2 linked regions of the Astyanax mexicanus genome follow. The protein of the gene in region 2 interacts with the protein of the main gene of each other region in a pairwise test. Links are inferred from orthologs where the notes say so. Each region holds a gene or a part of one and is shown on either strand. Other genes may lie near its edges. The genes, in order: ube2c and mapk7.

Region 1 (3,929 bases), on a different chromosome or scaffold from region 2:
AATACATTTTTTCAGTACTTAGTATTACAGGACAAAATGTATAGTGGCAGATTGAGTTAATTAAATAGAAATGTCATCCACAATGTGATGAATTTCTTTCAATTTAACAGGACTTCAAAACATGCTGTAGGTCTGTGTGCTTTTAAGCAATGAAGAAATACACCAGTTACACAGATGTGCATCACAGATTACTAGGGGTGGGCGATATGCTAATAAAAACCACCACAATATTTCATGGTACTTTTTCAATTACAATGTTCTTGGCTATTTGAAAAACACAGATTTTTTAAATGTATTTATCTTTTTTATTTGTGTCATTGTTTTTTTTTTGTGTGAAAGTGTGTGTGTGATACGATATGGCACACCCCTACTGATTACACCACCACATTTCTCACGTTATGCTACAATTTTATATTGCCCAGCCCTAATGTATACTCAAGCATTAAAGAGTAAAAATGTTACTATGAAAAAATGTAAAAATGTAAAAATGTAACACTCACCATTAAAGTCATCAGCTCATTTTGAAGTCTAGAAACATACAGAGACCAAAAACAGCAATCAGTAATGTGTAGGTATTTATTATGAAGTAAATCAAGATTATCAGTACATGGTGTTGGAAAAAATAATGAAAGACAAAAATAAATATATATTTCTTAAAGGTTTAAAAACTCAGTGCACAGCTTTACATGCAATTCAGGACAAGGATGTGGCAAGAAGGCAAATTGGAGGTATAAAGTGCAGTTTGCAAAATGTGCATCTGTGCGTATCCAACACGATACTGTGCACTGAACAGGATGTGGAGCTTAGCTATTGACCTATGCTACATATTTATATACATAAACAGGCCCCTTTTTTCTTTTTAAAACTCTATTCAGCATATAGTAATAGCATATTTCTGTGTAGTGTATACTAGTAGTATCAGAACTCAAAGCATCTAAAATTAAGGGACTAGAAGTTGAAGCTTTAAAATTTCAAAATGAACAAATAAGAATGGACACATACAATTAATAAAAATAAATCTTTACTGTTGCATTGCATACTATTACGCCCCCATGGACTTGTAATGCGATGAAAGTCATGATAATTATCTGTCAACTTCTACCATGACTATCAAGTTATGATACTAGTTTTAAAGAGAATTCAACTTTTTATGAAAATGTAAGAACCAGTTAGCAAAAATGTTGGAAACGTTTTAGGAGAAATCTTTTATTTTTTTTGTTTGCATACAGTTGGTTCAAAGCTAAACTGTAAGGCAAATAAACATTACATTTGTTTCTAAAGTTAGGCCAGCATGTGTAACCTCTACGCAAGTGATAGATGTTGAAAATGGCACTAAAATTTGTATTTTAACACAAAACTATAGAAATATTTTTTTAAGCATAGATGGGATTTGGAGTCTCACAACAATGCAAAACACGTAAGGGATTTTGAAGGATTTTAATAATTATACTTCATAGTTAAAGTTTATAGTTACAGAGTAGGGACAGGTAACAAATTATATATTTTTTCAGTTTTCCAAAAAAGATTACACAACTAACTGTTGTGATTAGGTTAATGTACAAGACACTATGATTTTTAATGAAATGTATTACTATGTGCACATTTATACATGTAATGTTAATTTCCTGGGTCCAGAAAAGACACAGATTCTGCAGAATATGCCATGTGCAGTTGACCTCAAGATGAATAGCTGTTATGGTGATAGCAGCTAATGAGGATTCAAATAAAACAATAAAACAAAACGTGCGTGTTCCTGTAAAACCAGTATCGGCCTAGAATTGCCATCAGTGCATCACCACTGGTTCTGGAAGTGAGGACGGAAAGTCACTGCGTACCTTTTTGAAACTGAGCCTTTGGGAACATTTCCGCCAGATTCATTTCCTTTCAGAGCAGCTGTGGAGGAGGCTGCCGCAGGATCCAGATTTTGGGAGGCCATTGCTTAAAACCTGAGAATCGACATGACTTGGTTATGGATTGAGTGTCATTCAGCAGTGTGTTCATAACATTAACAATATCCATTATAACAGATTATTACATATGTTACACCTCTTAAACTAGGTTAGCCAGCTACTAAGCACATCACAATGAAAAGAGAGAGAGAGATAACATTAACTTACATAGTGCAGATCTTTTACATGTTCGTTTTTATTATCTATTAAACATACATGGCTAATATTTTAACCTAACTAACCCACCCTACGTAAGAATATCATCATTTCTTTAGCTTCTCCCTTTTTTTAAACTCAAGTTGAATTAACGTTAACCTAATCTAGCTCAGGACAAGCCAGAGCCCTGGGTTAGATAGAGTTACCGTTAACAATACGTATTTAATCTAAAATCTAACCATTTTTAGCCTCAACCAAACGTTTAAAATGATTAGCTAAATCGTGACATTTCAGTTAAATAGCTTATTAGCCACACAAGCAAAGCAACGCCATTAAAACACTGCAGTGCGACCAAACCGTTGCTATGTTAGAAACCGCTAGCTTAGCACAGCTAAACGCAGCACACGTCCAAAACATAACGAAATAAATAGCGTTAACGTTACTAACATCCAACAAACTTGTTAACTAGGTTTACTATAGATACTTAAGTCTTAGGTTAACATGTTTAAAGCATGATATATTAATCTAACGCTAGCTAAAAGAGCAGTTGTAGTTAGTTAACGCTAGCTAAGCTAGGCTAGCTAAGTTAGCTTCCTAAAACACAGCAAATTTAAAGCCATCCCACACTCTATATCCAACCAAATCGCTCAAATTAATTGTTAAATCGATAACCTATCGATATACAAATCAAGCTTCATTATTATTTCACAATAAAAGCCACAAAATAGTAAAATTCAGTGCGTATTTAGGCTAGTTATTACCGGCTGCGTCCAGTCCCGTCTCTAACAGTCAGTAAAACTCCACAGTGAGATTTTTAAATCTTTATCCCGCCCCCCTGTTTAAACTGACTCTCACCCAACCGCTCCGGCGCTCCGCCCAGCCGCTCAGCCAATCAGGAGCCAGCGCTCAAAACAAAAGTCTGTCCTAGCAACCATTGAAAAACGCGCTTCACGATTTTCTTCGATTTGATTGGACGTCGCGCCGGCATGGGGCGTGGCTCGCGACCGTTGAATGCAGTACAGACAGAGCTAGTTTATATGGACAACCTACCCTCTTCCTATCTCCACAGCATTTATATATAAATAAAGGGGAAAAAAATATTTTACTAAATTGTAAATCTCTTGAATATAGTCAAGAGGAAGATGGATGATCACAAGCCATCAAACCAACCTGAACTGCTTGAACTTTTATTCAAAAGTAGTGTGTAAGACTGGTGGAGGAAACCAAGCCAAGATACATGAAAACTGTGAAATAAAAAGCAGGGTTATTCCACCAAATATTGATTTTTGAATTCTTAAAACTTTATTAATATAAACTTGTTTTCTTTGCATTATCTGAGGTCTGACAGTTCTGTGTCTTTTTTGTTATTTCACTATTGTTCACTATTATGTTCATTTTACTCAAATATATACCTATAAATAGCAAAATCAGAGAAACTGGTTCAGAAACTAAAGTGATGTCTTCATTTTGAGAAAAGTTAAGCACTTATTTCTTTTATTGTTATTGATTATGGCCTACAGCTAATGAAAACTCAAAAACCAGTATCTCAGAAAAGTAGACCAAATGGTTCTTTTGGCAGTGTGAACAGTGTGCCAAATCTTGCTGGAAAATGAAATCCACATCTCCGTAATAGTTGTCAGCAGAGGGAGACATGTCTCTCCAAACCATCACTGATTGGTGGAAACTTCACACTAGACCTCAAGCAGTTTGAACTGTGTGTCTCTCCACTCTTCCTCTAGACTTTGGACCCTTGATTTCCAAAAGAAAAGCCAAAATGATGGTCGGTGATGGTTTATAGAGTCGTGTCATCATTAACCAACAAAT
Region 2 (3,929 bases):
TAAACACCTCACAGCAGATCAGAGGAAGGGCCCGTGTATGAACACACTGTACCTGGAGGTGAAGACCTTGGAGCAGCTCACAGACTCCGCCAGGTCACACATGGCTCTGTATTTGGGGTCGTGCTCCTTGGAAAGCTCGACGTGGAGCGCGTAGACCGAGAGAAGCAGCCCTAAAGAGCAGAGCAGGACCCGGGCAGCCCGCTCCCAGCCCGGCACCCCAGCAGGAGCTCCACCCGGCGCCATAGCGACTCTAAAACCCGCGGTAAAAACCTGTAATATCAGAGAAACAGCCTTTAGATCCAGCCCGGACCGCACTGACTCTACAGCACAGCTCTACCGAGTCAATAAAAAACTTCTGCAACGTGGAGGAACTGAGTGAAGCGCTCTGATTGGACCAGATCTCTGCTCTGCTCTGATTGGACAGTGGGGGCAGATGTGGACAGCTGTGTAAATCTACGCAGTTAATAAAGGACGTGTCCCAATAAAAGTGTCCAAATGGAGCATACTTTATATATCCACTCTATACACTCCCTTTATGGCACAAAAGAACATTGAATAAACGTTCATTGTTTGGTTGCATTACATAATTTAAAGGAGAAATCTGGTATGAAATGGACTTGTAGTAAAACATGGTTATGAGTGTAAACTTTAATCGAATAGCAAACATCTGTTTTCCCCCAGGGTTCAAAAATCCATCACTTTTAGCTCTCAACAGGGTTACAATGCTAGAAATAGGGGCATAGGATTGCCCATGCAAATGAATCACTTTTTACACTATTAAAGGGCTGACTCCATTCACAGCTCAAATGTGAAAAAAGCTAAAAAAAAAAATGGAAGGGGTAGTTTGGCAGGGGCACTGGGTGATGTATGGGTTTAGAGGCAGGGCAGGAGGGAGAGCTGATTGGTTGAGCTGTAGCAGCAGCAGTGTACCTCTGATAGCGAAAACCTACTTGTTACCATGTTTTACTTCTACACCCCAAGCCCATTTCACACCGTATTTCTCCTTTAAGTAATTAATTAATTAATTAAGTTATTAACTTGTGCCAAGGCACAGCAAAATTCGGCATCTTAGAAAAAGGTGCTACATTGAAGAATGTAAAACATATACCTTTTATGTTCGCTAAATATTTACATAGGTTTATATGTTTGTAGATTTATGGATGCATCTTCATAGCAAAGTATTAACTTACAATGTATATTTTTTTTAAATAATGAAAAACAAATGAAAAGAAAGTGTAAATGTGTGTCCCAACTTATGTCTAGCACTCTATATCTTTTTAGCAACATGACAGCGATCAAATATCGTCATATTGTCCACTCCTCCTTCTCCCACACACACACACACACACACACACACAAGCTGGGTGTGTGAACGGTCTATGGAGTAGACAGTAGGTAGGGGGAGGAGCCCCTATATCCACATGTAAACACAGTTAATCTTTATCTATTAATCGGTCCACTTTAAACCCTCACAACTCGCAGAGTTTAAGACTGAACTGGTCTCTACTGATTCTTGTGTTTTAACCGAGATTTCGCCGGTTGTATGATTTGTAATTTGAGGGTTTAGCGCTCCTGATATCGTTAGCTTAAGATCATTTCTGTCGACACCGCCCAAAAGAATGGCCCTATTCCACTGAGAAGATCCCGCCCCCCAGCCAGGCGGCAGACGCTATTGGCTGATTGGGGCAGGAGGACGAGTCTGATTGGCCAGTGGCGCTGCCACTCGAGCACAACTCGAAAGAATACGAGGAAGTGAAGCAGGTTTACCGTTGATTTACAACAAACAGCGGCGGGACAGAGAGACAGAAACATGTCTGGAGAGACGCGTTCAGGATTATTGAGGTCTCGGTGATTCCTCCAGGTAAAAGCAGTGTTCCTCAGCTCTTTAATACGGTTATTGTTTTAGTTCTGAAGGAAAAAGGGAGCAGACAGTAGGGTAGGTTAGGTTAGCTGCCTCGCTGAGTGGTAATACATTAGCTTCTCTCAGCTACATCATCTCCCTCCACACCAGCTCACAGCTTTATACTGTTTTATTTAATTTATATCAGATTTATACAGTTTATTTCTCTTTTATAGTGCAGACAGTGACCTGTGAGCCTTAAAACACTTGAATTTATAATCTGCAGTACAGTATTTTCCAGTGTAGCAGGCTACGAGCAACGTAAATCCAGTGATGCTTTATACTGGATTTTCATATTGTTCATTATTATTTATTTATTCATTTTATTTCAGCCTATATTCAACAGTTGTGTGTGGTTGTATCCACTCAAAACCTCTCATTTTATCCTCTTTTTCTTATTTAGAAATAAACATTCTGTGCCTTTAATTTTGGTATATGTAAAAGCAAGTCTCTTCTGTTTGGCTGCTGTCGGTACTGGGCATTCATTCAGAATATACTTCCATGGGAATTGGGGCTAAGTAAAATACTGTATCTACTGTATTTAAGTACTAAAATGCTGTATCTGTATCTACTGGGGTATTATTTTTGCTTCACTACTGTACTTAAATACTGTATCTGTATCTACTGGAGTATTATTTCTACTATACTACTGTACTTAAGTACTAAAATGCTGTATCTGTATCTACTGGAGTATTAATTTGACTTCACTACTGTACTTTAGTACTAAACATGCTGTATCTGTATCTACTGGAGTATTATTTTTACTACACTACTGTACTTAAGTACTAAAATACCGTATCTGTATCTACTGGAGTATTATTTTTACTTCACTACTGTACTTAAGTACTAAAATGTTGTAGTTGTATCTACTGGAGTATTATTTTTACTTCACTACTGTACTTAAGTACTAAAATACCGTATCTGTATCTACTGGAGTATTACTTTTTCTCCTACTTCCACTTTTATTTCACTACATATTTTTGGATGAGTTTAATTCTTTTACTCCAATACATTTTTTACATGCTGCATCATCACTATTCATTAAAATAAAATAAAAAATATTAGGAATCATTCCAAACCCACATTATCTGGGTTTGATAAAGCTGCTCATCAGATCTTATAAGAAGATCTCACTGCTCCCGTTCTGCCTTTCACTCTGAGAACTTTCCACTGCTTTCTGTAATAACTACTCTACTACACTAATAACACAGTACTGTACTTTTAGTTTCAATACTTGAGTATATTTTGGGATAAACAACATTTTTAGCAAATGAATAAATGTATGATAAAGGAATGCTCTAAATGCATACTGAGCAGACTTATTTAAAACTCCCTGCTTTCTTTTACTATGGTTTTATAGTTTAAGCTGGTTATTTATTGCCAGCTGCTTAACACCTACAAGAGCCATAAGCTGGTTGTTGTATAACGTCAGTCTGGCATCAAAGTGGGTATGATGCCAAAGTACCGGTACAACATTTTTGGTCCGTATTTTATAAACTGACCTTGTCTTTCTTCTCTCCTTCCTTGTAGTTACAATTAAAGATGTCGTCCAGCGAGGTGAAGAAAGCTGAAGAGGCGAACCGGGGTCCGGTGTGTGACTCTGTGGGCGCCGGCAGCAAGACTGGGTGCGACAGTGAAAGTGTCAAGAGCATCCAGGTTCCTGTGGGAGAACTTCATGCTCAGCCTCCCAGTGATGCGACCACGGGTTCAGACGCGAACACTGTGGCGGCAAAGAACTTGGCCTTTCTCAAGGCCCACTCCCTAGATGTGAAGTTTGAAGTTGGAGAAGAATATGACATCATTGAGACCATCGGCACTGGTGCATATGGTGTCGTTTCTTCTGCCAGGAGGCGAGACAATGGTAGGAACCATTTGAACTTTGGTCGTCAGCATCAGTGCTGATTTTAAAAATGAACGCCATTCTATTTGAATTAGACTAAGTTTAAAAAATATCAGCTCACAGCTTTGGAAAAAATGAAGAGATCACTTCAGTTTCTGAATCAGTTTCTCTGATTTTGCTATTTATAGG

What was found.
Region 1: the proteins of mapk7 (region 2) and ube2c interact in binary tests that used the Homo sapiens proteins (3 or more experiments, as listed by UniProt). The two-hybrid records come from large-scale screens. The link is inferred for Astyanax mexicanus from reciprocal best matches to the Homo sapiens genes MAPK7 and UBE2C.

Annotation. Positions count from the first base shown.
Region 1 is NC_064412.1:6,312,975-6,316,903, forward strand, and holds the start of ube2c (ubiquitin-conjugating enzyme E2 C), read right to left. Parts: upstream 2,996-3,929; 5' UTR 2,867-2,995; intron 1,947-2,866; 5' UTR 1,937-1,946; coding exon 1,836-1,936; intron 529-1,835; coding exon 501-528; intron 1-500. UniProt on the Homo sapiens protein: Accepts ubiquitin from the E1 complex and catalyzes its covalent attachment to other proteins. In vitro catalyzes 'Lys-11'- and 'Lys-48'-linked polyubiquitination.
Region 2 is NC_064422.1:10,147,222-10,151,150, forward strand, and holds the start of mapk7 (mitogen-activated protein kinase 7), read left to right. Parts: upstream 1-1,399; 5' UTR 1,400-1,861; intron 1,862-3,430; 5' UTR 3,431-3,442; coding exon 3,443-3,761; intron 3,762-3,929. Other genes in the region: vkorc1 (vitamin K epoxide reductase complex subunit 1), read right to left, coding at 53-243. UniProt on the Homo sapiens protein: Plays a role in various cellular processes such as proliferation, differentiation and cell survival. The upstream activator of MAPK7 is the MAPK kinase MAP2K5.